4 linked regions of the Mytilus edulis genome follow. The protein of the gene in region 2 binds, or shares a complex with, the protein of the main gene of each other region. Links are inferred from orthologs where the notes say so. Each region holds a gene or a part of one and is shown on either strand. Other genes may lie near its edges.

Region 1 (7,205 bases), on a different chromosome or scaffold from region 2:
GGATGATTGTCTTATTTTCAATCAATGTTCATTTTTGTACATGTATTATTAGAGTCTTAAAGTTATGAAAATTTAAAACAAATGACATAGGTCCAAGTTCTTGTTTTGTCATCAAAATGGTAATACTGTATTAAAAAAAAACCTAATTCACATATTAAGATTTATGACAAACTACATGTACATTGATTATTAATCAGAAGGAACTCACTCATGCTGTTAAAAACTGACGAAGGTCATGAGATTATGCTAAATTCTATTGAATCGGAGTCTGACAAATTTTAAATAACAAAATATTAAAGTCTAGACAGAAATTTACATCCATTGACAATCCCAGAATATTTTTAAAAAGTGATCTGTCACATTTATGTATGAGGATGAGGATATCAATGTCGTATTTCTTCTACAATAATAATATGAGAAGATAATGGTAGGCAGGTAGATGAAACGGTATCAGGTTTATTCGACCCAAATATACTTTTGCACACTACATATTTGCACCTCGCACATTTGCACCCAATTTTAAATCAAATTCCAGTTGAATTATTAGAAAATCATGATTGTTGTTTTGACTTGCTTCAAGCCTATGATGTAAACACTGCATGTTGTGGGTATTTAGCTTGTCATGAGAAAAGCATTAAAGATTTTAAATGAAAACACACAAAAAAACAATTGTTTTTAACAGCTTGGTTCCTTTGATCTGAAACAACGAACAAAAAAAATTAAGGCAATACATGTACAGTAACCAAAACATGATTAAGATTTATTCAACACACAAAAAAACGTTGTTCGAATCTCACTTGATTTAGAAACAATGTTTTTTTTTATTTACATGTCAAAACTGCCAAAATCTGCTCTGAAATTTTAATTAAGCAAAAATGTATTTTATATTCATGATAGTTGACTTAAGTTGTATTTGTAGTATAATTTAAGAATATTTTTTTTATATCTCTCATAACTCTTTATAGAGTGGCTCTTGTTGTTAATTTGTGTTTTAAAAAACTGTATATTTTATATGTAACAAGTGGTGAGACTTTAATAAAGTATTTATCTTGTCTTCACTCGTGTCTTGTCTTGTAGCAATACACAATCTCAAACATAATTCAGATTTCATCTTTCATTTTTTAATAGATAATAATAATACACTTGCCAAATCTAGATTACAAAATTATTTAACAAACCCAATAAAGAGGGGGAGAACATATTTTTAGGATTCAGATGACACTTACATGAATGAGAAAAATAAAAAAATGAACAAATTGATGACCAATGTATATGGACAATGCAGTCAGTATACTCTATTGTAGAAGCAATGAAGCAGAGCATACATTTAGGAAGTCAAATATCAACTTTTAGATATATCAGACGATCTTGTCTGCCCAAAAATTGCTGTTGGACATCAGAGTAATCTCTGACATGAAAAGATGTATAGATGATAAAAAAAGATTTCTTCTCTCTATAAATTTTAAAACACAAACTACAAATTGTGGTTGTAAGAGATAGACATTTATAAAAATCATTATGATTTAACCCTCTTGCTGCCGGACATGTGTCGACACAAACTGTGTCAGAGGGAGTGGGACACATACATTGTACATGTATGTCCATGCTTTAATTTATGTAAGCTTCTCATCAGTGCTGTACCTTAAACAAAATAAACAAGGGCCCCGAACAATTGGGGCAAGTATGGACACAACATTCATGCAAGCTTGATACGGTATCAGGTCCGTTCGCGCCCAATATACTTTCGCACCTCGCACGTTTGCACCCAAGGTCCGTTTGCACTCTACACGTTTGCGCCCAATTTTTATTCAAATTCCGGTTGAATAATTGGAAAATCATCATTGTTGTTTTTAATTGCTTTCGGGTAAATACTGAATGTATTTATAGCTTGGTATGAGTAAAAGATTGAAGATTATAAATGAAAAACACAAAAGATAATTGTTTTTAACAGCTTGGTCCCTTTGATCTGAAACAATGAAACAATAAAATATAGCAATACACTATTATAACCAAAACATGATAAAATTTATTCAAGACTCAAAAATAAAAAAACATAGTCAGAATCTGACTTCATTTTGAAACAAGTCAATGAAACAAAGTTATGGTAATACACTAACCAAAACATGATAAAGAGTTATTCAACACAAAATAAAATGTTGACAGAATCCCACTTTATTTAGAAAGGAATATTTTTTTTTTTAACAATACACTATCCAAAACATGATTAAGATTTATTCAACACAAAAAAAAATGCTGTATCACTTTATTTTGAGACAATGAAAACAATAATACTTATAAGAATACTACTTGATTACAAAGTTGATATTGGGCGCGAACATGTAGGGTGAGAACATACTTTGGGTGCGAACATGTAGGGTGCGAAAGTGAAAGGGGGCGAACATGAGTGGGTGCGAACGTGAATGGGCGCGAAAGGACCTGGATTCGCTTGATACAGCTCTGAATTTGGATTGTGATCAAATTCTTGACATAATATGAGTTTCTGACACAAAACAAATGTCAAGATCTTACAAATCTATTATGCAATATTTTGCAATTACAGATTTCTTCAAACTTTTCAAAAATTTGGAATTTGAGAAATTTGGAAAAAAATTATAATAGCCTTTCAAGACGTCCATGACGTCATAATTATTTAGACTAGTACTAGGGCAAACGTGAATGACGTCATTGTTTGGCATGTCACACCACAATCATCAAGCGGTCATATTTTCTAACATATGAAATGCAACCCTGAAAAACAGAGGGATATTGTCTTTTTTTTTATTGACTATTTTGGTTTTGTTGAGTGCTTGTTTATTTGTTTTAAATATTAGTAAATGCGAGTGGCAGTTGTTAATTATTAAAACTATATCATTCATTGTAATTTATTGAAGATGACATTAACCTTTTGAGTAGAAACGACTGTAACCTCAATGATTTCTCACATTTGTCGATTTGAAGCTTCAAAAATTGTGGGAAATGGCGTCCTGTTTCTATGTCGACTGTTATTTCCGGTTCTAAAAGTACTTCCGTTCCACGAAAATATGTATTTTAAAATGATGTTTGAATATGAGAGGAAACCAAACATTTTGTAACGTGAAGAAAGAAATTATTATTTTAAATATTGGTCGAAATTTTATGCCAGTCACAAGACTATTCTATAAATAGATCACGCAAATGACGTCACGCAATATTTACAAAAAAAATGGCTGCCCTCTTTGGACATGGGAATCCTCTGGCTACACCTGTAGGCCAGATGATTGGTAAGAGCTTATAGTGAGAAGTAACAGCCCATATTTAAGATGAGACATTACATACACTCCCTTACATAACAACAAAACACAATGTCAATCCAATTTAGGAGAGAAAGGTAGAAAATAGAATGAAAGTCTGAATAAAAAAAAGAGACCATAAATATTTTTTGAGACATAGTTGATACCTTGACCATCATTTTGCTCTAAACTTCTATTCTATATTTTTCTTTTAAAAAATGAACATACTTGAAAATACTGTCATTGCTGCACTTTCATTCCTGACTTAATTTCCAAACCTAACTTCCTTCCATCATCCATGTTTGGATAAAGTTAGGGGTGACTGTTTGAATTTTTTTATTCATGTTTACGGTATCACTATTTGAAAATCACCAATGTATGATCTATTATTTCGAAACACTAACTTTTGCTGTCATGAAAAATCACTTGCATTGTGACATCAGAATTTTTCTCTTATGACACAGACATTTGAAGGAATCAAGTGTGTCTGCAAATCCAGTCTAAACAAAAATTTTATCCCTCTATAGAAGGATTATCCCTCTATACAGGTATAATCACCATATAGAGGGTTTGTTCCCAACCTGTTCAATGAAATCGCAAATGTCAACAAGAACTAAGTAAGACTGTAAGCAAGGTAAGATCATCGTATCTTGCAACAAATTTTAAAACAATTCGCCGTTTCAGAATCTAATGCATTCTGGGTAATATTTTCAAAAGCGTACACCAAAGCGTTTTGATTGGTTTAAAACGTTATAAACAATGGAAATTCAACCAATGACGTAACGTTATTTTAACTTTGGGGTACGAACAATGAAATTACCCATGATGCTTTAGATTCTGAAACGGTCAATTTCATGAAAATAATTTAGTTATAAGTAGTTGTAACTTTATCTTGAACATGAATATAGAGAAATTAAATGCATATTATGAATTAAACACTTGTTTGTGCAATTTTAATTTTGAACTTTATCCACATAATAACATTGATTGTTAGAGTATGCAAAAATAAACTAGCAGTTTCCTGAATTCTGGTGTTTCCCTTGATAAACCAGGGCCTGGATGGTCTTAGAAGTTTATCTACAGCAATCACTAGCCTGTCAACACTGAGTTTGTATGTACATTGTAAAAACCCTGCATGTGGCAGGTGTGCTGAAGGTTGTTCTGACTCCACTCTCCAGCTTTCTCCACCATTAAAACTTGGATGCGTAGCTGTAGCTGATAATGCTTCAAGATGTGTTAAACACCAATAATCAATCAAACGGTGAAACAAACATAGAACAATTATTCAATCACCAAATTTACTATTCAATTGAAAACTGAAATGCATTTATTCCTGAGCAAACTTTAAGGAGTAAGGGGTGGATTTTTTAAAACCTTAATGGGAGAGTACAGAGTAGCACACAGTTTTCTATATAAATGTTTAATTGACATGTTGTACTTGTAAACAAATACAAATGAAAATAGTTTTAGTCTAAGTCAAGTTCCTGTTGGGAGAGTTATTTCCAGATTTGACTCCCTACAGTGTACTGAATCAATTGTGAAATATTTTACAAGTTCCCACTCCTAGAACTTGCTCATTTTCCATGACAGCGTCCGTCGTTGCACCCTGTGTTGACCAAATTTTTGTGGCTACAATAATTACTAACAACAATAAACTTCTTTTGAGTTGAAATGTGTGGTTTGTTAAATTATAATGAATATAAACCAAGAAAATTGTCAGCAGGTGCACTATGAACATCTTTGATTTTAACATTTAAAGGGTATTGCACAACAATTATCAGATTATGGTGCAATCATATTGTATTTTAAACATGATAAAAGAAAAAATTAAAAGAATGAGGTAAAGAAAAAACATGTTTTCTATTGTGATTTTCTTATTTTCAGAAAAAAGCACTGATGGTTCACAAGCATCAGAAAACTGGGGACTGTTTATGGAAATCTGTGATGTAATTAATGACACTGATGAAGGGTATGATACTTATATTAGCTATATAAATTAAAGTCATTTAAAAGTATGTTTATGGCCTCTTTATTTATGTGTTTTGATGTCATATCAAGTCTGGAAATAGAACAGACTGTTTTGATAAGGATGGTCAGCCAGTAGAATGAGTGGATGTCTAATATATCAGGTGCATGATATTTTTTGATAGAAGTTGTCAGATGTATTAACATTTGCTATAATAAAATATTTTACTATACTACATATAGTGACAATGATATGTTCTGGTTGGAAAATTTACAAATTGTAATGTATAAATTTTTTTGATTTTTTTTGGATTTTTCAAGTCTTTTTAACTGTACCATTCCTTCACAATAGTGCTCTCACAGAAGTAATTCTGCAGTAAATATGAAAAAAGAAGATGTGGTATGATTGCCAATGAGACATCTCTTCACAAGAGACCAAATGACACAGAAATTAACAACTTCAGATTACCCCACAACCTTCATTCATGAGCAAAGCCAATACCATTAGGTCAGCTATTAAAGGCCCTAAAATGACAAATGTAAAACAAGAAAACAAGAAAACTAATGGCCTAATTTATTTACAAAGTAATGAACGAAAAAACAATATATGTAACACAGCATGCGCTACAAACAACAACCAATAAATTACTGGCTCTTGACTTCGGACAGGCACATACAGAATGCACGATTTAACAGGTAATGCTTAATATGATTTGAATAATGTGATTGGTAAAGATTTCCATTTTAATGCAACAGTCTGTAGGTCTTATCTCTTGCCACTGAAGAACAACAGTTCCTACTAGTGGTCATCCTAAATTTTATCTCGTGCAACTTTGAGGCTTATTTATGAAGAATTTAGATTTATATAAATTATAAATGTTCTTCTGTATATTTTACAGACCAAAAGATGCTATTAAAGCAATTAAGAAAAGATTGTCACAAAATATGGGAAAGAATCACACTGCAGTTATGTACACTTTAACAGTAAGTTTCTAGACTCCCCTTTCTTTAAGTATTGTACAATGTATGTTAAAAGGTCAAACATGTGACATGAAAAACTTGGCTTATTTAATCTTTATTTTACTTAGATGACATTCAAAGATAATAACAATATATTATATTAATTTGTATTGACATAAAATGTACATGCCTGTTGATGCATTACGAAAACAACATGAAATTTCCTATAATTAAAAAAAACTTATTCCTAAAAATATTCAAACTTCATCATGAAAATATATTAAAAGAAAAAACAAAGGATATGGTGTATCCATCAGTGACACACAATCAGTAAATGTATAGCAAAAAACACTAAAAGCAAAGGGAAAGTGTGTAATTGCTGTTTATGATCTCAGAGTTTGAAAATGAATATTTTTAAAAATAAAACTTGATCATCAAGAAAAAAAATTCTTTCTGATGAAGCCCAATTAAATTAATATTGTGACCAGTCAGACCCAACAAAGAATTTTTAAAACAGTAGTGACTTTGGTATATCATTGAAATGGTTATTTTATAAATCAAATGTTTACAAAACTTTAAATCGATTGTTGAGGAATAGATTATTTTAGCTAAATTTTTTAAAAACATTAAGGAATTTTGAGTCTTTAATACGCTGCTTCAAAATTATCTCTGATCAGTGTCAACCACCAATTGCGACAATATTTCAAGCCCCAATCATGAAAAATTAATTGATGATATTACTAGACCTAAATATTTATATTTTCAGGGTTTTGGCAAATTTTATTTTATTTTTACTTGTTATACAAAATCAGTTATTTGTTTTATTTGTACCTAATGTATATTATTTCTTTGTATATTTAGTGTTTGGAGACATGTGTGAAGAATTGTGGAAAAAAATTCCACCAGCAAGTAGCCACAAAAGATTTTATGGGTGACTTAGTCAAAATAATTGGTCCTAAATACGACCCACCAACAGTTCTTCAAGAAAAAGTCTTAAGTTCTATACAGGTA
Region 2 (7,835 bases):
TTTTATATATATATTCATTTTATATATTTATTTTATATATATTCAAACCTCTTCTTTCTTTTTCATCAGTGGACAGATCTCCCTCGATTCGTCTGCGAGACATGTCTCATGTGTAGCATACCCGCTGACAACGTAAGAATCGTAACCGGCTCCAGCTAACAGGGAACACAGCAATGTACTGTACTCAAAACAATTCCCTTTCTGACGTTTTAAAACAGATGGTGGCGATATCAACCTCTTTGGCTGGAAAAAAAGACAAAGATATCAATACAATTCAATGTTATCACTACCATTTATTTTTTCAAATGAAACAAGTAATCAAATATAAAATGTTATGGCATCTCTATCCTGACTCTAGAACCATATAAGTCTTAATTTTGTTAGGACAGAAAATGTATTCTTTATGATTTATATTGATCAAGAGTACTGGTAAGTTTCTCTTTTATGGGATGTTATATCTTTACACAAGTTTATTATATTTTGAAGCTTAAAGAATATAGTTACTAACAAAAAAATAATCTATGGTTAAATCTTGACTTGATGTAATAAAAGTACAAAAAATAATACTGTTAAATCAGAAACTCAACACATTTTTCATTGGATTGGTTCACATCAAAATGATTATAATGCACATTTTTACTATTTGGATATTTAATAACATAAATTTGTCAATAAATGACATGAGTCAAACTAATAAATTTCATATTTTGTATTTTTCACATTTTGCATTATGAAACCTCTGCATTTACTACTTAATTTAATAAATCATTGAGACTTGTAACCAAATAAAACATAAATTTTTTTATTATTAAGATGTTAATTTAAACTACCATTTGACTGATGTAAAATTGTTGTTGTAAATTATGACAATTACCAATTCATATGGAGGCTCTAATGTCTCAAAATTCAGATAATCTGCAACAAATTCTGAACTTCCCTCCCAACCGTAAAATTCTTTAAATTCAATCTGTGTTGGTCTGATGGTTGTACATACAAATTTCTAAAATCACAAATAAAATATATATATATACATACATGCATTTATTAAATGTAATTTACAAATAAAATAGAAATTTTAACATGAAGAAAGCAATACAGCCTGTTAAATAAACCCTTCTAAACTCTCTTTTGCAGTGATCAATGGTGAACTCATCATACATACAAGAAAAAAATATCAAACTCAGTGGTCATATAATTAATAATTCAGGTTTTAGAAAATTCTTATACAAAAGTGATTTAATCTATTGACCAAAATAATATTACATGTACATGTAATACCTGGGTTTCTGTTTTATTCAGTTATCATGCTGAAAAATAGGTTATGTAGGAGAATGAATTTATTTTTCAAGCATTTTTTAACTGGTTTAAACAGGGAAAACAATCTGATTTTAAAAGAGCTTTTGCAATAATAACAAAATAATCTGAGGATTAGAGTTGGTCGGGTTTATAGCAGAAAAACATGTATTTTGTAAGAGCCTCATTCATAATTAATTACCTCTGTCCCACATTCATTGATTGGGTTGAGAAGAAGAGGTTTCCTGTCTCTGTATAAGTGTACATATTGTAGTCTAAAATTTTCTGCATATTGTAGCACCAAGTTTTCTTTTGGTAAATTGTCTTTATAGGAAGCAGGGAATTCTGCTGGATCAAATTCCTGGGCTGTTAGTCTGGAAAAAAATCAGCATTAAATCAAATTCATTAGATGTGAAGACTGGTCTAATAACTAGATAAAGCATGCACTCAATGTAAGGATACATGTATATATAATTTATTTGTATGTATATTGGTCTTTTGATATCCACTGTGGGATTAGTTTTATAAACTCTTTCTTTATTTGGCACTTTTCTGATTCTGGTTTTACTGATAAATATTTGATATACAAAATTATAAGCCTGGTATCTTTGAATCATATGATAGTTTATGTAGCAACTAGCAGTAGTAAGTGCCTGTGATATCAAAACAGAACAGATACAAGTTTCAAACAAGCTAGAACGAATACAAAGGCAAGCAGCACGCTTTATAACAGGCGACTACAGAACTAGGCTGCATAACAAACATGCTTACAAAAATAGAGCTACAGGAACTAAAATTGAGACGCATGAGCCCCGCTATTGATCCAGACGACTTCCTCAAATCAGCAAGACCAAGACGAACCATCACAGCTAAAAATTTTCAAGCCACAAACATAGTTGAAAAACATGTGAGGAACAATACCAGGTGTTTTGACATTCCTACTAGTAAAACACCGCAACATTCAAATTCATTTTTTGTGTCCACAATAGTAAATTGGAACCATCTAGAAGACACTATTGTTCGCGCAACAAGTGTAGAGAGCTTTAAATCTGCTCTGGTGAAACATCAATAAATCGACGGCGCCTTCACTCCCGTTGTATAAAAGCCAGAATAGGGCTCTTCACGGTTAGTTCGGCCATATTGGATAGGGAGCAGATTTTCATAATAGAGGTAAAAATGGTGTGAAAAATACGGGAAAACATCATTAAAACAGAGCTGTTGCTTGGAAACACACATAGGATTTCCCACACTTTCATACCATTTCCACCTCCTTCCAAAAAATCTGCCCCCTATCCAATATGGCCGAACTAACCGTGAAGAGCCCTATTGGTAGCTACGACGTACCCATACAGATACAGATATAAAACCATGCTGACAGTCAGCTAATTAAGTTGTGGTGATGACCATATTGAGGGCATAGTTTTTTTTATTAATTTGTTTATTTACAATTCGCTCTTTAACTTATTCTTGGCAATGGATATAATGCATCAAAACATTGCCTTACTCTTGAATCGTTGGAGGATGCACCACTATTTTGTCAAGCTCCTTTTTCAACGCCTCAGCATCGTCGGTTAATTCTTCGGCTGTTTTGCCTTCAGCTTCTTCTCCTAGTTCATCTTCATCTTTATCTGGATCGGGGGTCTTTGTATCTTCACTCGGTAAAGCGAATTCGTCCTCCGAAGCCATGATTTTACAAACGAGACGAACAACTCATTATTTAAACACAATACGCGCTCATAGCAACAAACTCTCTTTGAAATATAGTGCATCGACAATATAAAAATCATGATCGCTCAGAAAATAGATATGTACGTAATGCTAGTCAAAATTTAAAGCATAACAAATCATGGTATTTAAATTGCATAAAATACTTCTGGAAATCATAAAACAATTAATTGCTAATTAAAGATAGTCGCGCATTAATCTATTAATTTACTTCCGGTAATCTTTTACAGTTATTTCCCTTGTTTTAGTTACAAAGTTAGCTTTCAAAAAAAGCTTGACATAGTTCTGATCTCAAATATTACAAATCAGAAAATTTAAATAAGACTAGTACTTAGTCCAGGGACGTAGGTGTCTTTTTTTATGTTTGGGAATAGTTATCAAAAGTACCAGGATTATAATTGTTTATAATTTTATATATAAAAAAAATCTAAATATTTAAAATTAAAACCACTAGACTACTCTTAAATTTTGAAGTTATCTATTTTGAATTTTTATGAATATGATGTGAATAGTGCAGAATTGTTTAATTTTGTTAAATTCTTAGTTGGTGTTCGTTTTTGTCCTGTTTTGTGAGCTTCATCTTTTTTCATTACTCTGGAGTTCAGCATTTTTGTTAGAATAGTACTATTTTATAATCAGTTTGTTTTTGTAATTACCTCTGGAGATCTAATATAAAAACGAAAGAAATGATAAAAAAAACCCAATTATTATAACTACCAAAATTATACTTTTTACAGGGTTTGTAATAACATAAACAATACAATGGGTGCCTTTCAGGAGCACTTGAGATTAATACCCCGTTTTTGGTGGGGTAAGTGTTGATTAGTCTTTATTTTTGTATTTTGTGTACTATTGTCTGTCTGTTTGTCTATTGCCTTGTAGTCATGGCGTTGTCAGTTTATTTTTTAATCTATGAGTTTGAATGTCCCTCTTGTATCTTTCGCCCTTCTTCTATTATAGTTTTGTCCCTTATTTCTTGAAGTAATTTTAAATATGTTTAGATATTATAAATATGTATTAAAGACTGATGATATCCTTCTCTCTGAAGCTCTGAGTGTCTCTACATCACTAAATAGTTTAAACAAAAATAGTTGGTATAGTTGTATTGTTATTCTTATGAAATATCTTGATATATAGATCTTAAACTTGTTAAAAATTCAAAGATGGATTTAAAATCCCTAATTTACCGGAAATTAAAACTGAAATATTCTTGTATTTGGAAATCTGAACTTTACAATGATAGACAAAATAAACAGCATGGAAATAAACTAAGAACTTACAGATTATGTAAAGAAAATATTTGTATGGAAAAATATTTATTAATTTTGAATGACGATGAAAGGTGACTGCTCACTAAGTTCAGAGTCAGTGCACATAAATTAGAAATTGAAAGAGGCAGATATTTGGGGCCTCGAGTGGAGGATAGAATATGTAAATTATGCAACACCGAAGTTGAAGATGAAATTCATTTTCTTCTTCAGTGTCCTGTTTTAGAAAATAAAAGATCTGAATATATAAATTACTTAAATAAGGTAAACAAAAACTTTAAAAGCCTCCCAACTAAATCAAAATTAATATGGTTAATGTCATCTAAGGATAATGTTATAATTTAAAAAGTAAGTTTATTGTGTACTTTATTCAAAGAGAGAAATTAAATACTAGAAACAATTACGTCACCAGTAGTTTGTCCATCTATATTATATTGTAAAACTATACATATTATTCCTGTAGAAATTATTCTGCTGAGAAAGACTTGATTTTGTTTAATTGTTAAATAATCAATGTAATCAATATGTAATCACTTGTATGAAATTGAACTTAATTGGACTGCTAAAATTATTGGGCATCATGTTTGACAATAATTCTTATATGATTTGCATATCTATAAATACTTGAATTTAATTGGTCAATTAGAATTTTTCTCTAGGTTTACACTTCGATAAACCATGTTTCCAAATCTACTTTCGTAATCTATTCATGCGTGATACACATTCTTGCAGGGATACTGGGAATTTCAGCAAATTGAGATTTAAAAAAACAAATGCATAACAGTTGTTTCTATTCTAATGCATAATAACAAAAAAGAAATTAAATGAATGCACTAAAGCTACGAAAATGTATAAAAATTAATTTAAATAAAATTCTGCGAAATTTCATGAAGGATTTGGCGAATTGTCGTCATGGCAAAACACAACGTCATACGAATGAAAACTTTCAGGGGAAAGATCATTTCGTTTAATACGTCTAGCTTCAAATTCGAATAATATCTCATTTTAAAAATGAAATTTCGGAGGAAGGTGCTATTTTGTTTTAGATTCCATTGCATTTATCGAACATTAATGAATTATAGAAAGTCAAGATGGCGGCCAACTCCTTAGTTACGACCTGTCAGTTGTGCATGTGATGGTGATTATAGTAGCTTTACACCAAAAAAAATGTTAATAAAAATCGAGAATATTTGGCTTTAGAATTATAAGAATTAAACACATTTTTTCTAGAGGTCATTGATGTGTAAACGGGGCTCTTAGCCACAAACTTTACATAAGGACTTTTATTCAGTTTGTGAGTTAATCGCCCCGGTTTAATCCTATAATAAAAAATCTTTGTATTTGTATTTGTCATGTCTTTTTTTTATGTTTTCTGCATAAAATTTATATCTATCTGTATTCCTTGGGTCTTGGTTGTTTTCCCTATCCAAGACTAGGATTACTTAAGGGGGAGAAGATGACGGGATTTGTTGTGTGAAATGTACAATAGCACAGAAAATTCCTGTCAGGAAGGAAATCTTATCATGATGCTAAGAAATATAAAATATTTTAAAATCTATAGCATTTGACCTCCATGACTAATAAAACCAATGCACTTCACTGTTAAACTTAAATTGATGAGCATTTAGGCAGCAACCATTTGATTTTCTGAGGGGGGCTATGGTTTTTTTTTCTGGACAAATTATTTTTTTCGCCAAGTCGAAAACAATTTTTTTCTTTCAATTTTAGCATTACATATAGTGGCAGCTGAGGGTGAAACAAACAAATTTTTTTTCTCAGAATCAAAAACAAATTATTTTTTTCTCCTAAAAATGGAAACAAATTTTTTTTTCCAAAAAAAACCATAGCCCCCCCCCCCCCCCCCCCCCATAAATTCAAATGGTTGCTCCTTATAATGAAGGTCATATTACAAAGTGTGATAAAGATTGTGAGTGATAAAAAAAAAACATTTAAGGGTCACTTAGCTACAAGATACCTAAACAAGGGTGCACACGCTGAAATGTCTTGCCTTCTTTACTAATCATTGATATTATATTGATAGTCTTAATATAAAGCTTTATTACAACTGTCATATAAACTTAACATTAACCAAGAAAACTAAACATTGACCAATGAACCACGAAAATGAGGTAAAGGGCAAATGAACCATGCCAGGCAGGCATGTACAGCTAACAATTCTTCCATACAACAAATATAGTTGACCTATTGCTTATAGTTTAAGAAAAACAGACCCAACACAAAAACTTAACACTGAGCAATGAACCAAGAAAATGAGGTCAAGGTAAAATAAACCTGCACGACTGATATATAGATCATAAAATATTTCCATACACCAAATATAGTTGACCTATTGCATATAGTATTAGAAAAAAAGACCAAAATTCAAAAACTTAACTTTGACTACTAAACCATGAAAATGAGGTCAGGGTCAGATCTTATCTGCCAGCTAGACATGTACATCTTACAATCATTCCATTCCCCAAATAAAGTAGACCTTTTGCATACAGTATAAGAAAAACAGACCAAAACACAAAACTTAACTATAACCACTGAACCATGAAAATGAGGTCAAGGTCAGATGACACCTGCCAGTTGGAAATGTACACCTTACAGTGCTTCCATACACAGAATATACTAGACCTATATATTGCTTATAGTATCTGAGATATGGACTTGATCACCAAAACTTAACCTTGTTCACTGATCCATGAAACGAGGTCGAGGTCAAGAGAAAAATGACTGACGGGCATGAGGACCTTGCAAGGTAGGCACATGCCAAATACAGTTATCCTAATACTGAAAATTCAGAAATTAATGCGAGGTTTTTATTATTGCGAAAAATGCAACAGAGTTGTAAACGCAATAATTTAAACTCGCATTTTGAAATGTTTTATATGAATTAAACAGGATTTTTCTCAAAATGTCAAAATCATAAAAATAAAAACCACATTTAAGTCTAAAATGACAAAATCGCAATAATAAATGCACGCAATAATTTCTGAATTTACAGTACTTATAATAAGAGAATTGAACATTACAAAAAATCTTTAACTTTTTCAAGTAGTCACTGAACCATGAAAATGAGGTCAAGGACATTGGACATGTGACTGATGGAAACTTTGTATCATGAGGCATCTATATACAAAGTATGAAGCATCCAGGTCTTCCACCTTCTAAAATATAAACCTTTTAAGAAGTTAGCTAAAGTTGCTGCCGCCGCCGGTTCACTATCCCAATGTCAAGCTTTCTGCAACAAATATCGCAGGCTCGACAAAAGTTGATTTCTGAATTTTTTGTTCAATCATTAATGAAAATGAAACAGTGAAATAATAATTCAATTTAAGCAGCCAGTAGTTCTATTTTGTCAAAATAAGTGATGAAAACTTCGATGATTAGTTATTCACTTGCAAGTAAATAAATCGACTTCATTGAATTTGTATTAATGCGAACTTCAATTTAACCCCTTAGATAGAGATGGATTACACATGATTGAAGTGTGTTAGGTTACTGAAAGAAAAGAATGTCAACATTGAAAGTGAAACAAAGGTG
Region 3 (7,929 bases), about 85 Mb from region 2:
GTACACCTTACAATCATTCCATACACCAAATATAGTAGACCTATTGCATATAGTATAAGAAAAACCTATAAGGTGACCTATAGTTGTTAATGTCTGTGTCATTTTGGTCTTTTGTGAATAGTTGTCTCATTGGCAATCATACCACATCTTCTTTTTTATACTTGTTCACTGATCCATGAAATGAGTTCGAGGACAAGTGAAAACTGTCTGATGGGCATGAGGACCTTGCAAGGTACGCACATACCAAATATAGTTATCCAATTACTTATAATAAGAGAGAATTTAACATTACAAAAAATCTTAACTTTTTTTTCAAGTAGTCACTGAACCATGAAAATGAGGTCAAGGACATTGGACATGTGAATGACGGAAAGTTCGTAACATGAGGCATCTATATACAAAGTATGAAGCATCCAGGTCTTCTACCTTTTAAAATATAAAGCTTTTAAGAAGTTAAGTAACGCCGCCGCCACATCACTATCACTATGTCGAGCTTTCTGCAACAAAAGTTGCAGGCTCGACAAAAATTGATTTGAAAATTTGTTTTTAAGTAGCAACATGTCATGGTATGCTTATACATTTACGTAATATTACGTAAGATTTACTTACAGTTACTATGGTTACTAAAATACAATTTAAAAATAACTGAAAAGGAAACCTTTAATAATGGTGAAAATGAACGCAGGGTGCAAAGTTGTGGGATTCAAAAACGAATGGAGGCAAATGTGACATTGGGAGAATGGACCAAGATTCATGACAAGTTAGTCTTGAGGTTTACCTGTATACCTATATATAGTTTACAACAAATATAGCATGGGGCTTCAGAATGAGATACGTAAATGAATAGTGATACACAATTTAAAAGTTATTACTTTGTGTTAATGACATCTTTGGCTTTGTCTTTTTTCTTCACTCTACAAGTATGTGGACAGCAAAACTAAGTGTCTCTTTCTCAACAATTCCTAAAAATAAATATTACAATCAAATCAATTGAATTATTCAAATAAGTTTTATATGAAATATATATAACATAAACTTTGAATTGATATTTACTTCAACTCACACTGTACACTGATTTAAAAAAGTAGGAACAAATTATTAAGTCCCTGTGGGTAATAATGAACAAAATCAGTTGGAATGAATTGATTAAATCTTAGACAAATAGGTTTAGAACGAATTCAACTTGAAATGAATTGTTTAGCAGTCAACAATACAACATAAGCTCAGAGCAAGCTTATTACAGACATACATAAAGTGATAATCAATTAAAGTACATATACAGTGCATTCAGACACAATAGGACAACACAAAACACACAATAGTTTTAAACATACACAATTGTCAAATAAAAGAATTAGTTTAGCATAAAATCATATAGAGTTAAGTTAAGGCTAATGCAAGCACTAAAATAGCAAAAACTATTAGCACTCAAAATCAGCAAAACTCTAGCATCAGAATAAATCTTTGACGGGTGAATTGCTTCCCTTGGTAAATGTGGTTAGATACTTAGTCAGCTGTAAGCGATTGAGCTAAGGAAGTTCAAGCTCATTAAGTTAGTGTGCTGCCTTATAAAAAGTAAAATCACAAAAATACTGAACTCAGAGGAAAATCTAATCGGAAAGTCCATAATCACATGGCAAAATCAAATGACAAAACACATCAAAAACGAATGGACAAGAACTGTCATATTCCTGACTCAGAGGGCTCATATCCCAGGTATGAAACTAAGCAATTTTGTAATAAAATTGTTTAATTCATGCCCTCCGGTTACAAATCAAAAATTACAATTAAATTTTTTGTCAAAATATATTAAGTTCAGTTGCCACCTACATGTATAAGTTATATATCTAAAGTACATGTGAGTTGTTTACCATCTGGAGTGAAATTGTACACGCGAGACTTTAACGTTTACAAGGGAAACAATCCAGTGTCAACAGCGACATTGACAACAGAACACAGGCACTTGTAGTCGGTAGACAAAATAATAACGATTGACATACTTTGGTAGGATTGCTACGGATGATTCTGACAACAAAAGTAGGTGTGATATAATGTACACCATTGTGTAGATAAATCAATTTAGATTTACGAAATTACAAGTTTTAGTGGGGTTAACAACTGTGAAATAGGTATATGACGGAATTTCGTGACATTCTGACATGTTTAAAAAATGCGAGTTAAATACCTTGTGTTATATAAGGGTATATAGCATTTTTTTTTCTGAGACAAGTGTCTGTGCAACAGAATACAGAAAATTACAAACAAAAGAAAATAAGTTATTATAATTTTTCAAATCTGCTGTTGTTCTATACATGTATGAATAAAAGTGTGGTCAATATTAATTTCACAGACAACACAGGAACTTTATCTTCAATCTTTGTCGTGATGACAGAGTAATCTCTCTTGTAAATTATCCTCTCTTGTAAAATAATTATCACAAATGTAGTTTCTCCTTTGTACTTATATATTGTAGGTGGCGCTTTAAAAATATTATAGAATTATTGTATGAAGTGAAATAAATCTAAAAAATGGTTTATTAGGTTATTGAAATGGCATGAAAAATTAAAAATATAAAAAATTTAAAGAAATTTGTATCAAATTATCCACTAAAACGGTTTGTTTCCTCTATGTACTCCGCTAATAGTTGATTGATATTTTCTGCATTTGGCAAATTGATTGTTAATAAATTGTCTAGATCTGTTGGAATTTGTCCTGTTATGAAGTATATTTGATGAAATAATTTGTCTCTGGCATCTGGAACTTTAACAATAATAACATGCTTAAAATACTTTATCATTGCCATATGATCATATTGCCTTAACCACTCTGCACAGCACGATATCGTGTAAAACTACTTGTAATAATGACATTTTAGTGATTCATATATATCTTGAGATATTTGCCATGCAATTTGTGAATTTTTGCTTCCCTTATCTCATTAATAATGCCATAAAATACCTTTTTTTTTACTGAAACTGGCATAACATTATGTTTACATGTTGCTAGGTGGCATGCGCCGAAACCGGAAGTTAAGAAAAAAATCAACTTCCGTTTCCTTTTTCAATTTTCAGCAGGTCTGCATGATGAAAATATATGTTTATGATGACAAAATAATGCTTTCCTTAAATAATAATTTATATTTATTAAAGCAAACTTAAATTTTATTTTATACATAAGTCATTGTTCATACTAGAATAAACGGATGGGGCTTCAAACGACTGATATACGCAGATTTAAGGTCTTAACAAGGATTATTTACTATAGATCTTCACGATATTTTTCTTTAAATCAATGACAACTTGACTGATATTCCCCATAATGTAAAAAGGAAGATCTTCGTAGAGAACAAACTATTATTCCTCTTTTTGCGACAGTTTGCATTGTCGCATATTCCAAGATTCATTTAAAAAAAAGATAAATATGTGCTAAAAATGTTGATGATAGTACCAACAACGTGTATATATATATATCGCACCTGTTACACTTGATTAGTATAATTTGGTATGGACAATCGCTTAAGAATAGTATTGAAATCAATGTTCAGAGCACCCTGTTTTTTGTGGTGTTGTTTCTAAGTCGTTTTCTATGTTCTTAATGTTGTTTCTTGTTAAGTATTATTTGTTTATTTCTTTTTTAGCCATGAGTTTTTCAGTTTGTTCTCAATAAGTTTGAATATCCCTCTGGTATCTTTTGCCACTCTTCACTTGTATAATAATATTTAGTTTTACCATGGAAGTATTATATTGACAGGAACTAGGTACGGAAAGTGATTTTTTTTAAATCAACCGATCTTAGAAAACTTTACCTCATTTAAAAGGCATTGTGAAGACATTTTCAAAACAGTTTCACTTTTATCTATACACATAATAACAACGAAGAAATTGCAACTTTTCAAAACGAAAATTTTTTACTATTCTGGAAAAACTGTTTCCTCTCTTTAAAAAATAATAAAATATATTTTTTTAATCATTTGGGTTATAGTTTTGTTTATATTGCTTCTTTTACATCTTGTTAGTCAATTTCAATCCTCCATATTCAGGTTTTTGGTCAAAATAGAAGCATAAAGCATGAAAATGTCGACCACTCTCATGAAATTGTATCGTCCAAAGTCACATAACATGACGATACCTTTACATATTCCTTTTTTCAGAGCATCAGGTATATTGAAAATGTAAAGTAAAACTTTATAAACATTTGAATGTAAAGAAACAAAATATAAATATGAATATTACTCTTTATATACAAATGTATGTTAGTGTGTGTGACTATAAAAAAAGATGTGGTATGATTGCCATCTGAGACATGACTCTCCACAAGAGACCAAATGACACAGAAATTAACAACTATAGGTCACCGTACAGCCTTCAACAATGAGCAAAGCCCATACCGCATATCAGCTATAAATGGCCCCGAAATGACAAATGTAAAACAATTCAAATGAGAAAACTAACAGCCTAACTTATGTAAAAAAAATAAATGAAAAACAAATATTTAACACATAAACAAACAACAACTACTGAATTACAGGCTCCTGACTTTGAACAGGCACATACATACAGAATGTGGCGGTGTTAATAAAATTGAGAATGGAAATGGGGAATGTATCAAAGAGACAACAACCCGGCCACTGAAAAAACAACAGCAGAAGGTCACCAACAGGTCTTCAATGCAACGAGAAAATCCCACACCCGGAGGCGTCCTTCAGCTGGCCCCTAAACAAATATACACCAGTTCAGTGATAATGAACGCCATACTAATATCCAAATTGTACACAAGAAACTAAAATTAAAATAATACAAGACTAACAAAGACCAGAGGTTCCTTACTTGGGACAGACGCAAAAATGTGGCGGGGTTAAACATGTTTATGAGATCTCAACCCTCCCCCTATACCTCTAGCCAATGTAGAAAAGTAAACGCATAACAATACGTACATTTAAAATTCAATTCAAGAGAAGTCCGAGTCTGATGTCAGAAGACATGTTAGCGGACGCCCAATCCTCCCCCTGACCTGTGACAGTACAACATAAGAATGAACTATAAAAATCAGTTGTACCATGAGAGACAAGAAAAGTTTTGTATAGTCATGATACATGTGATAGTTTTAGAATGTTCCCTTTTCATTAACATTCTATTTAATTAATATATCTTAATCTTATATGGCATGTATAGTGAATGCTTATAAATAAAAATAAACAACAACCTTCTAACAATTATTCTACATGACTAAAATAAAAACATTATTTTTATTTTGAGAAATTTCAAAGAAAATAATTATGTCAGATTATGTACTGTAAATACCTGTATGTATAAAAGTAAAGTAAATTCATCATGTTCATATCTGTATATCAGTTACAATACTTATACAGTGAAATCTGTAAACCAATTTTATTCAGGACTGAAGTTCGAAATGCATTAAATGTGAATAGCATTCGAATTGAACTGCCGCTACTGCATGGATTCCTATGTATGTTTTTAGTTGAACATGTTGAAAATACATACAGTCATGTATATTGATTGTTGTTAAACCACATTATTCAGTATCCTTACTACCTCGTGTGCAATGGCAAGTGGTTAAACTATCGTTAAATGGCAATAAACTGGCTGTATAATGCAAAAAAAAAAACTATCACCGCTGAATTCCAATCAAAACTTAACCAAAAATTGTCCATGCAAGGGAAATAACTCTGTATACACAAAAAGGAGGGTAATTTATAAAAAATAATTTTGATATGAACACAGCTATCTAGATTTATTTTTTGGACCTTATTATTTAATTAATATATTAAACTTAATAAAAAAGTACATTTTATGGCTGTATAAAGTTCCCTTGTATTTTTTTGAAACAAATGTAACTTTCAAACCCTTGTTTGTACCTCAAATATTTCATCATATTCCCGAAAATTATAATATACAGAATCATGAATATTCATATAATATCTATCAAAAGCAATCAGAACCTTCTGAGACTTAACAAGTTAATAAAAGACCGTAATTGGAGGTCACCCAAAGATTTTATTTTTACACACATCTGGGTACAATTATTTAGGGTAATTTGGAGTTATCTCCCATTGGTTTGCCATACCTACAGGAACTACTACGACCCGACTTCAAACGGTTCATCTGCGATGCCGCGTACCATTTAATGACATGTTAATTAACTTGAAACATGGCACTATATTAATACACCAGTGTGTGGCACATTGCGATAAAGTCATGTGTCGGTCGTTTCCGGGGTACGGAAATACAAGAAGAAAGCGGATGTTGTCATAAATCCTAAGGAAACAGTTTATACACACGTGTGTAGATGAATAGAACGAGACATACAATCATTAATTCCAAACAAACACTTTGACAATGGATGAATTTGAGACAGATAATATACCCGATGATTTTTGTCCTCACATTTTGAAAGTGAGATATATTGTTCGTGTAAATCGGATGATTCGTCACATCTTATCGAATGTAAAAGCAAAGAGTGCAAAATAAAATTTTAGCACATACAATGTGTTGGATTGCAAATTGGCATCGATGGACCATGTTAAATAAGGCTTTACGTATATAACTATATATGAAATATCCTGACTGCCAAATATACATCACTGAATTCAGTTTCAGTTTACGTTTTTGGTATAGACATTAAACCTTGTTTTTTTTAAGTGCATATATAAAGTATTAGATTTACAGTAGAAGTTGATAACTTTAAGATTTGTCCTTGTGAGAAAACAATACTCGGGTCATAAGACTTTTTTTAAATCTTGGCTAGTATATATATTGGCATAGTCATACATGTTCAAATGATAAAATACTGACCATGGCTTTATATGATCGGAAAGGTCTTTCAATTGCGGGTAGACATGAAGTTTTTATATTCACAATTAAAAAGATATTAACCAACATTATATAGATAGCTACACAACGAAGTGAGATCTCTGTTTTCTTCTGCTGTATTTTGTTGATGTTGGTACTTGTTCGATTAATTTTCGTATTTTAAACTGGAAATTTATACTTTCCAGGATTATCCAGTACCTTAACTATATAGATTACTCGAAACTTCACAGTATTTATTTTTATCAAATATATTTATTTTTAACCGGCGGTAACCGGAACACACCTTAATTACGATTTAAACTTAACCCACAAACTAATGAAATATTGTCACTCACCATTTCAAAACGTTGTAGTATTCAAAGTTCTCGTCCGATTTTCTTGGTTTGTACATCAGTCGATTTGTTTTGAAAAATTGAATAATTCTGAAAGACCACAGACGAGATTGAAATACACAAAGGGGTTTTCCGACAGGTATTAGAGATAACCTTTCGCAATAAAAACCACGTGATGATAAGAAGTATGTCTGGTCAGTTTAGGACGGCGGCATCGCACATGGTCACAAAGGGCTATTAACGATAACATACTAATTAGTCAGTTTCCATATCTTTTCTACAGAGCTCCCTGGGTTATAAATAAGTGCTAATAAATCGTTGTAGTTCCTGTCAATATAATACTTCCATGGTTTTACTATATCAATCACCATATTAACTTCTTATACATGTACCTGCATACTGCCCACATTCATGTCGACATGCACTTGCCTTTTAAGTAACAAACCTATATTAAGTCGGCTCAAAACCAATTTAGTCTCTGCTTAAGTTGTGCATTTCCCAAACAGTATGTACCATACCTTCCAACACCCATTACTGAACTAAGACGCTTTCCTTGATTAGAGTGCTCATCGGTTAGACAAGCTTGAATACATTTGGGATATTATTCCAATTTTTGATTATTTTCTTTCCAAGTAATGTCTATATTTGCCAATCTGTTATCCATCTAGAAAACAGCTTGATTTATTTCGTTCAAATGTTAATTTTCAGGCCATTCATTAAGAGGCAGTACCCGGTACTTTTACCCTCTTATGCTACTGATAAGTACT
Region 4 (7,846 bases), on a different chromosome or scaffold from region 2:
TTAAAAAATGATGAAATTAATAAACTAGAGGAACTGGTTATAAGTGAGCAGGATGTTGAAGATGTGCTTTTGAATCTTGATATTTCAAAAGCTACAGGGCCTGATTTAATCAGTCCAAGACTCCTGAAGGCGGCAGCAACTGTCTTGAAGTATCCATTTACAAAACTTTTTAATCGATCCCTACCAACAGGGTGGTTTCCAGATGTGTGGAAACTAGCAAATGTTATACCTGTATATAAGAACAAAGGTGGCCCAGAATTTTTACTTAATTATAGACCTATCATGCTATATCTTTGCTGTCTAACATTGGTAAGACAATGGAGAGATGCATTTTTAAATACCTTATTATTACAAATTCGTTATTAACAAAATACCAGTCAGGTTTCATCCCTGGTGATTCGACAGTAAACCAACTGCTATGAATTATTAACGATTTTGGTAAAGCATTAGATGAAGGGAAAGAGGTCAGGGTAATCTTCTCTAGTCGAGCTTTCGACCGAGTTTGGCATAAAGGCTTACTTTATAAGCTTAGAAAAATAGGAATTAATGGTAACTTGTTACTTTGGTTTGAAAGCTATTTAAACTCAAGAAGGCAACAGGTTGTCATTGGTGGAGAAACGTCCAACAACGAACATGTCTCAGCTGGGGTACCCCAAGGGTCTATCTTGGGTCCTATTTTATTTCTCATTTATGTTAATGACATAATTAATGACATCGAATCTGATATAAAACTTTTTGCTGATGACACCTCAATTTATATAGTGGTTGATATCGAATATGAAGCGGCAGAAATGCTAAATAAAGATATTGAGAAAATACATACTTGGTCTAAACAATGGCTTGTCTATTTCAACCCAAACAAAACAGAAATAATGACCATTTCAAAAAGGCACCATTAACCCCACCACCCGCCAGTGTATATGAATAATAATATAATAAAAGAAGTTGAGTTGCACAAGCATTTAGAGGTTATTATAAATGAAGATGGAAGCTGGAATAACCATGTAAAAATGATTATTAATAAGGCTATTCCTAGATTAGCATTATTCCGAAAGTTAAAGTTTAAATTTAAAAGGAAAAATTTAGAAACTATTTATTGATCTTTCATACGCCCAGTCTTAGAATATGGGGACATTGTCTGGGATAACATACTAAATTAATTAAAAACATCTCTGGAAAACTTACAACTAGAAGCAGCAAGAATCGATACAGGTGGTACTAAGATATCATCGAGACGGTTGCTGTGTACGATGAAACCGGTTGGGAAACTCCAGTCTCGACGTGATAAACATAAGTTATTAAAATTTCATCAAATGTTTCACGGAGATTATCTTTCTGTGTTAGTTCCAAATCAGAGACTAGATCTACACGACCACAGGACTAGGGGTCTTCAAATTTACAAACTGTATTATGCAGAACAAGCTATTATCAAAAGTCATTTCTACCAGCCGTAGTAAACCTTTGGAATAATATTCCACACGACATTCGTCTAAATCAATCAAAATCGGGTTTTAAGACTTATCTCTCTCAAAATAATAATAAAATACCATTGAACTTTCACTTAGGCTGTAGAAGAGAACAGACATGTTAAGCAAGACTAAGACTCCAGAGTAGTGTTCTAAGGGACCATCTATTAAAAAAAATCTAATTGAGAACGCACTGTGTACCTGTGGTCGAGTAGAAACTACCTCTCATTATTTCTTCAAATGTCCAAAATATAATGAAATTCGAAGGGATACTATCGGGACGATCTCCTGTTCTAATCTTAAGATTATCTTATATGGGGACAGTCTAAAAGCTGACGAGGACAATGTGCAAATGTTTCATAAAGTTTCTGAATACACAAATAAAACAAAACGTTTTGAAAGTTAATCTAGTATATGTATATATATATATATTATATATATAGACTTTTTTTTAATATGATGTAAAATCGAGTGGATTGCCCGGCGTAATTGACAGTATAGTGAGTCTATAGTCGGACGTGTGTGTTGGTTCCAGTGACTGTCTGGAAAAGTAAATAAGAGTTGACTGTTTTCGTGTTTTTTTTCCCTTTTTTTCCACATTTTTTTTTTTTCACTTATTTTATTTGTTGTATTTTTTTGCGTGTGTGTGTTGGTATTTATTCATTTTATTATATGCTACCATAAACTGAATATACTGTTGGCACGTAATATTGTTTGTTAAATAGATGGTGTTTTTTTTTAGGGAGACGGATTTATAAAAGTTTTTCCAAACTTGTTTCCGAATCCCATATTTGAACTTTATGTAACATTGTAATATTTATCTTGACATTTTTTATTAATAAATACTGTTTAAACTAACTGTTCAGTTTCTTGTATGTTCCTCTATATTAATTATGGAGCACTACTCATATGGTATAAACTGTAGCAACTTTTTACACATTAAAACACAAGAGGGCATATAAACTTATGAACAGATAAATGAGAAAAGGCAAAACTTTTATTAATTCATAAGATAGTCATTACAATTTTAAACCATAAAATAAAATAATCATTAAAAGTTGTGTAAGATCTGAATATAATAACAAGTAAAAATTTTAAATTAATAGTTTAAATTAGTTTTCAATTTAAATTCAATTGGCTAGTTAAAGGTGCCGTTCTTACATCAGAATTTATAATGAAAAGATTATTTAACTAGAGGCTCTAAAGAGCCTGTGTCGCTCACCTTGGTCTCTGTGAATATTAAAGGAAGCAGATAGATAGATGCATGACAAAATTGTGTTTTGGTGATGGTGATGTGTTTGTACATCTTACTTTACTGAACATTCTTGCTGCTTAAAATCATCTCTATCTATAATGAACTTGGCCCATTAGTTTCAGTGGAAAATGTTAGTAAAAATTTACAAATTTTATGAAAATTGTTAAAAATTGACTATGAAGAACAATAACTCCTAAGGGGTCAATTGACCATTTCGGTCATGTTGACTTATTTGTAAATCTTACTTTGCTGAACATTATTGTTGTTTACAGTTTATCTCTATCAATAATAATATTCAAGATAATGACCAAAAACAGCAAAATTTCCTTAAAACTAACAATTCAGGGTCAGCAACCCAATAACGGGATGTCCGATTCATCTAAAAATTTCCGAGCAGATAAATGTTGACCTGATAAACAATTTTACCCCCATGTCAGATTTGCTCTAAATGCTTTGGGTTTTGAGTTATAAGCCAAAAACTGCATTTTACCCCATGTTCTATTTTTAGCCATGACGGCCATCTTGGTTTGATGGCCGGGTCACCGGACATATTTTCCAAACTAACCCAAAAGATGATTGTGGCCAAGTTTGGATTAATTTGGCCCTGTAGTTTTAGAGGAGAAGATTTTTGTAAAATATTACTAAGATTTACGAAAAATGGTTAAAAATTGACTATAAAGGGCAATAACTCCGAAAGGGGTCAACTGACCATTTCAGTCATGTTGACTTATTTGTAAATCTTACTTTGCTGAACATTATTGCTGTTTACTGTTTATCTCCATCTATAAAAATATTCAAGATAATAACCAAAAAACAGCAAAATTTCCTTAAAATTACTAATTCAGGGGCAGCAACCCAACAACGGGTTATCCGATTCATCTGAAAATTTCAGGGCAGATAGATCTTCACCTGTTTAACAATTCTACCCCATGTCAGATTTGCTCTAAATGCTTTGGTTTTTGAGTTATAAGCCAAAAACTGTATTTTACCCCTATGTTCTATTTTTAGCCATGGTGGCAATCTTGGATGGTTGGCCGGTCACCGGACACATTTTTTAAACTAGTTACCCCAATGATGATTGTGGCCAAGTTTGGTTTAATTTGGCCCAGTAGTTTCAGAGAAGAAGATTTTTGTAAAAGTTAACGACGATGACGACGACGGACGACGGACGACGACGGACGCCGGACGCCAAGTGATGAGAAAAGCTCACTTGGCCTTTTAGGCCAGGTGAGCTAAAAAGGGTGTTATGTAAATGAGTGAAGGTTTGAGCAAATCAACGTATATACATAAGTACCACACGCCATAGTATTACTCTTTAGCAATCACGGACGGCTTAAATACGGAAAATAAAAATAAATCTAGATTACACACCAAGGATTTTGTATTTATTTGTTTAGTTTATTTGCTATAAATCAGTAACAGTGGAATTACCAAAACTTTTATAAGGGGGGGGGGGCTGACTGAACTAAGGTGATTCGCTATATAATCAACCAAATTTTTCACGAAAGGGGTGTCCGGGTAATATTTATTTGAAAAATAATGATTTTAGTTGAAATAATAGGACAAATTTTTTTAGTGGAAACTCACTTTTGTCCACTGACTGTATATCACAGCAAGTTTCTTCTTCCGTCATAATTACTAAGTTCAACTTCTCAACAAGTTCAAGATCCCCAAGAAATCAAGGTCTATGTATGCCGTATAATTTTTGAAATTTTTCAAAGTCTCTCGAGCATGTTTGGGTTGATCTGAGTATAGTAGTCTCAGGGTTGATACGGACCTGAATTGGTACAGACGCTTTTAAGTTATAAACACACAAATATATTGAAAAATTAACAATAACAGAGACACATAACCTGAAAAGATATACGTTATTTTGCGTCTAACGATAAACGGGTGCCGTCGCCAGAAATTAGATACGTGTTTTAGCGTTTTCTTTTTAACAGTTACCTATTTACTTTAGAAAACCAGTATTCTAAAATTTACGTAATTTTTAATATATTTTTCTCTCGAATAAATTTATGATGATAAAACTATTTTTCACTGTCTTTGACATTTCGATTGGTCCAAAAATCAAATAAAACGTACACAGCTAATTATCTCGTTGTCTTGTACGAGATTATGTGTTTATTTACATCCGGGGACCGTCACCTGGACAACAAGTACATCAGAAAGGGGGAACATACATTTAACATTTTGAAAACAAAGAATCCAGGAACATACTGAACAATGGTAGGTTTATGGATGACTCTTAGTGAGATATTCAATCCCTCTTCCTGTCTTACCCGTTTTTTTTTAATTCTACTACACAAAAACGACAAAACAACATGAAATTTAAACATGTTATGCAGTTTTTGTATTTGAAATACACATGATATTCTAAACCAATATTTTGATAAATTGGTTATTTTCCTCTTTTTTAAACTTTTATTACATTATTGTGTATAGTTTATATGGTAGTATGTTATTGACCTGATCATTTATCAAATAATCTGTAAAGAGGATTCATTGCAAATAGATTTATCTTTATCTGCTGACTCAGTGACTGTTCAACCTGTCTACCTATACTATAGTATGTAAATAAAAAGACAACCTGTTGACTTATTTCTCTTTCAAACTGATTGACCGCTTTTTCTTCAGATGGAACTACTATCTGTTTAGTGTAAGAAAATAATTAACTGATTGAAACATTGGTTTTGGTGTCTGACACTTTAATTTCCGAGGCCTAAAACTTTCAAAAATAGAGTAAACCCACGGACTTATTACTACTGATCATGCTTACTATTGAAATTTGCATAGGAAACACCTTCTTCCAGCTTTACCATTTGTGTTGATTTGGAAAGTAGAGGACCATATGATAAGTGTGTAAAAACTGTGGAGTTATTGAATGTATACATGTATGGTATCGGGTCCATTTGCCTTAATAACATGTTCGCCCTAGGTCCGTTTGCCCGTAGAGTCTGTTCGTCCTACTAAAATGATATTCAGGTCATTGAATTCGAAGTTGGTTAAACTTATTTAGATAATTATGTGGTACATATTTTTGAAATTTAGGGAAACGTAAGGAATCATTTAAAAGTTTATGGCTTTTTTAGGATTGATAATTGTTCAATGACATAATAATTCTCACTGATTGTTGTGATACTTGTCTTTTGATGGATTAATAATAAAAACAAACATTTTGTTATGATAAACCAGGAACTTTCTATACTAACTAATTACTAAATTAATACATTGTATTCCAGTATACTATGCAAATCAAAGGGAAAATAATATATATTGGTTGCTGCAATACAAATATTCGGTAAATTTTCAACAAACTTTAACATATTCTGTTCAAATAATTAACATTATGCAACTGGACAACAATTAAAAAAAAAGGTACATGTACGTAGGGCAAACGGACCCTGGGCAAACAGGTATCTGGGCGAACAGGTACTAGGGCGAACGTGAATCAGGGCGGACGGACCCAGATTCAATGTAAGTAATGTATAAAATTTTCAAAGAACTTATTTAAAAGATTTTTTACCCAGAGGATCCACATCACAAAAAGATTTTCAAGGTGTGCTAATTTATAGAAGAATGCAACTCACTTTGAACCCAGAAAATTTAACTATGTATGTGAAAAATGTCTCCACTTCAATACAAGCCATCGTACATATCTAAGTTAAGATATAGACTGAGCTACAGAAGAAATTGTTAACATTACTGGCTATTTAAAATCAATTAATCATCCTGACCCATCTATTAGCATCTCTTGGTCTTTCAGGTCAAGAAATATAGAGCAACAAATCATCAAAATTGACACTTAGTCTTTATGTACCTGATATATCTTTTTTTAAATGAATTTTCATTTTTGCAGCCTCCTAAAAAGAAGAGTGGAAAGAAGGGAAAGAAAGGGAAGAAATCTGGAAAGGCCAAATCACCAACAGTTATAGATGGAATCTCAACAGAAGAAATGTCTAAAGAACAGGTATACATGTAGACTTCTGCTTAAAATAAAGTGTCAGAAGATACCAGGGATATTCAAACTCACAAACACAAATGAAATATCACAGCAAAAAAACAAAGACTGAGCAATATGGACCTATCCAAAAGATGATAAAAGACAACGAAAACACAAACAAATATACTTGCAATATTTTTACCTTGTAGTTGGAATAATTTATATTTTGTTTATCTCTAAATTCTTGAAGATTTTTTTGATTGCAAATTATGTTGCACAAGTTTATAAAATGCAAATTGTTTACATCATGTTAATATTGCAAAATTTTTTGTTTCATTAAAAAGATCAAAATGTTTGACTAGTATCATTACAAAAAGTTAAATGTTTTAATTACAGTTGGAAGAACACATACAAAGATTACGTGAGGAATTGGAACGTGAAAGAGAAGAGAGAAACTACTTCCAATTGGAAAGAGACAAGGTCAACACATTCTGGGAAATCACAAAAAGACAGTTAGAAGAGAAGAAAGCAGAACTTAGAAATAAAGACAGAGAAATGGAGGACTCAGAAGAAAGACATCAGACCGAAATAAAAGTAAATTTAAGAATTGTTTTTCAATCATATTCTTTTAACTATCTTTACATTTCCATGTATGCTTCTTTCATAATTTCCAAAAGCTACTTTGTCATGTTGTAGAAATAAATTGAAATGAAACATTCAAAGTCAGATATTTTGTAAAAATTTTGACAAGATTGCTTTCATTATAACTATTACTGACATAATGTGTTTACAATATTTTCTGAATATCTTTATAAAAGAATGTCTCTTCGTTTGTAAAATAAATGCAAACAGGAATTTCTAAATTTAAACTATCAATAATTATCTTCTTCAAATATTTTGTATTCAAACATGAAAATAAAGTAGAATCTGTTATATGAACATGTAGATTTGTATTATATTTAATTATGACAGAATGAGATTTGATGAGTATGATTTTATCAGTGAAAATCATATCTAAATAAAAATATTTAATGATTTACCATTTTATATTTTCAGGTTTACAAACAAAAAGTGAAGCATTTACTGTATGAACATCAGAAGAATATAACAACAATAAAGTCACAAAATGTATCTGCCCTGAAATTGGCACAAAATGATCAATCTAAAAGTGAGAAGAACTTG

The links.
Region 1: dynein regulatory complex subunit 7-like (region 2) and dynein regulatory complex subunit 3-like share a complex: the UniProt entries of both Homo sapiens proteins name them as parts of the nexin-dynein regulatory complex. The link is inferred for Mytilus edulis from reciprocal best matches to the Homo sapiens genes DRC7 and DRC3.
Region 3: dynein regulatory complex subunit 7-like (region 2) and dynein regulatory complex protein 9-like share a complex: the UniProt entries of both Homo sapiens proteins name them as parts of the nexin-dynein regulatory complex. The link is inferred for Mytilus edulis from reciprocal best matches to the Homo sapiens genes DRC7 and DRC9.
Region 4: dynein regulatory complex subunit 7-like (region 2) and dynein regulatory complex subunit 4-like share a complex: the UniProt entries of both Homo sapiens proteins name them as parts of the nexin-dynein regulatory complex. The link is inferred for Mytilus edulis from reciprocal best matches to the Homo sapiens genes DRC7 and DRC4.

What each region holds. Positions count from the first base shown.
Region 1 is NC_092352.1:28,254,918-28,262,122, forward strand, and holds the start of dynein regulatory complex subunit 3-like, read right to left. Parts: upstream 3,011-7,205; 5' UTR 2,903-3,010; exon of another isoform or gene 2,897-2,902; intron 1-2,896. Other genes in the region: TOM1-like protein 2, read left to right, coding at 3,203-3,260, 5,154-5,238, 6,134-6,218, 7,056-7,202. UniProt on the Homo sapiens protein: Component of the nexin-dynein regulatory complex (N-DRC) a key regulator of ciliary/flagellar motility which maintains the alignment and integrity of the distal axoneme and regulates microtubule sliding in motile axonemes.
Region 2 is NC_092346.1:2,214,765-2,222,599, forward strand, and holds the start of dynein regulatory complex subunit 7-like, read right to left. Parts: upstream 3,020-7,835; 5' UTR 2,980-3,019; coding exon 2,798-2,979; intron 1,668-2,797; coding exon 1,496-1,667; intron 1,001-1,495; coding exon 875-1,000; intron 244-874; coding exon 49-243; intron 1-48. UniProt on the Homo sapiens protein: Component of the nexin-dynein regulatory complex (N-DRC) a key regulator of ciliary/flagellar motility which maintains the alignment and integrity of the distal axoneme and regulates microtubule sliding in motile axonemes.
Region 3 is NC_092346.1:87,338,844-87,346,772, forward strand, and holds the start of dynein regulatory complex protein 9-like, read right to left. Parts: upstream 3,015-7,929; 5' UTR 2,961-3,014; intron 964-2,960; 5' UTR 889-963; coding exon 873-888; intron 1-872. UniProt on the Homo sapiens protein: Component of the nexin-dynein regulatory complex (N-DRC), a key regulator of ciliary/flagellar motility which maintains the alignment and integrity of the distal axoneme and regulates microtubule sliding in motile axonemes.
Region 4 is NC_092348.1:7,363,324-7,371,169, forward strand, and holds the start of dynein regulatory complex subunit 4-like, read left to right. Parts: upstream 1-4,824; 5' UTR 4,825-4,947; coding exon 4,948-4,950; intron 4,951-6,580; coding exon 6,581-6,691; intron 6,692-7,060; coding exon 7,061-7,258; intron 7,259-7,720; coding exon 7,721-7,846. UniProt on the Homo sapiens protein: Component of the nexin-dynein regulatory complex (N-DRC), a key regulator of ciliary/flagellar motility which maintains the alignment and integrity of the distal axoneme and regulates microtubule sliding in motile axonemes.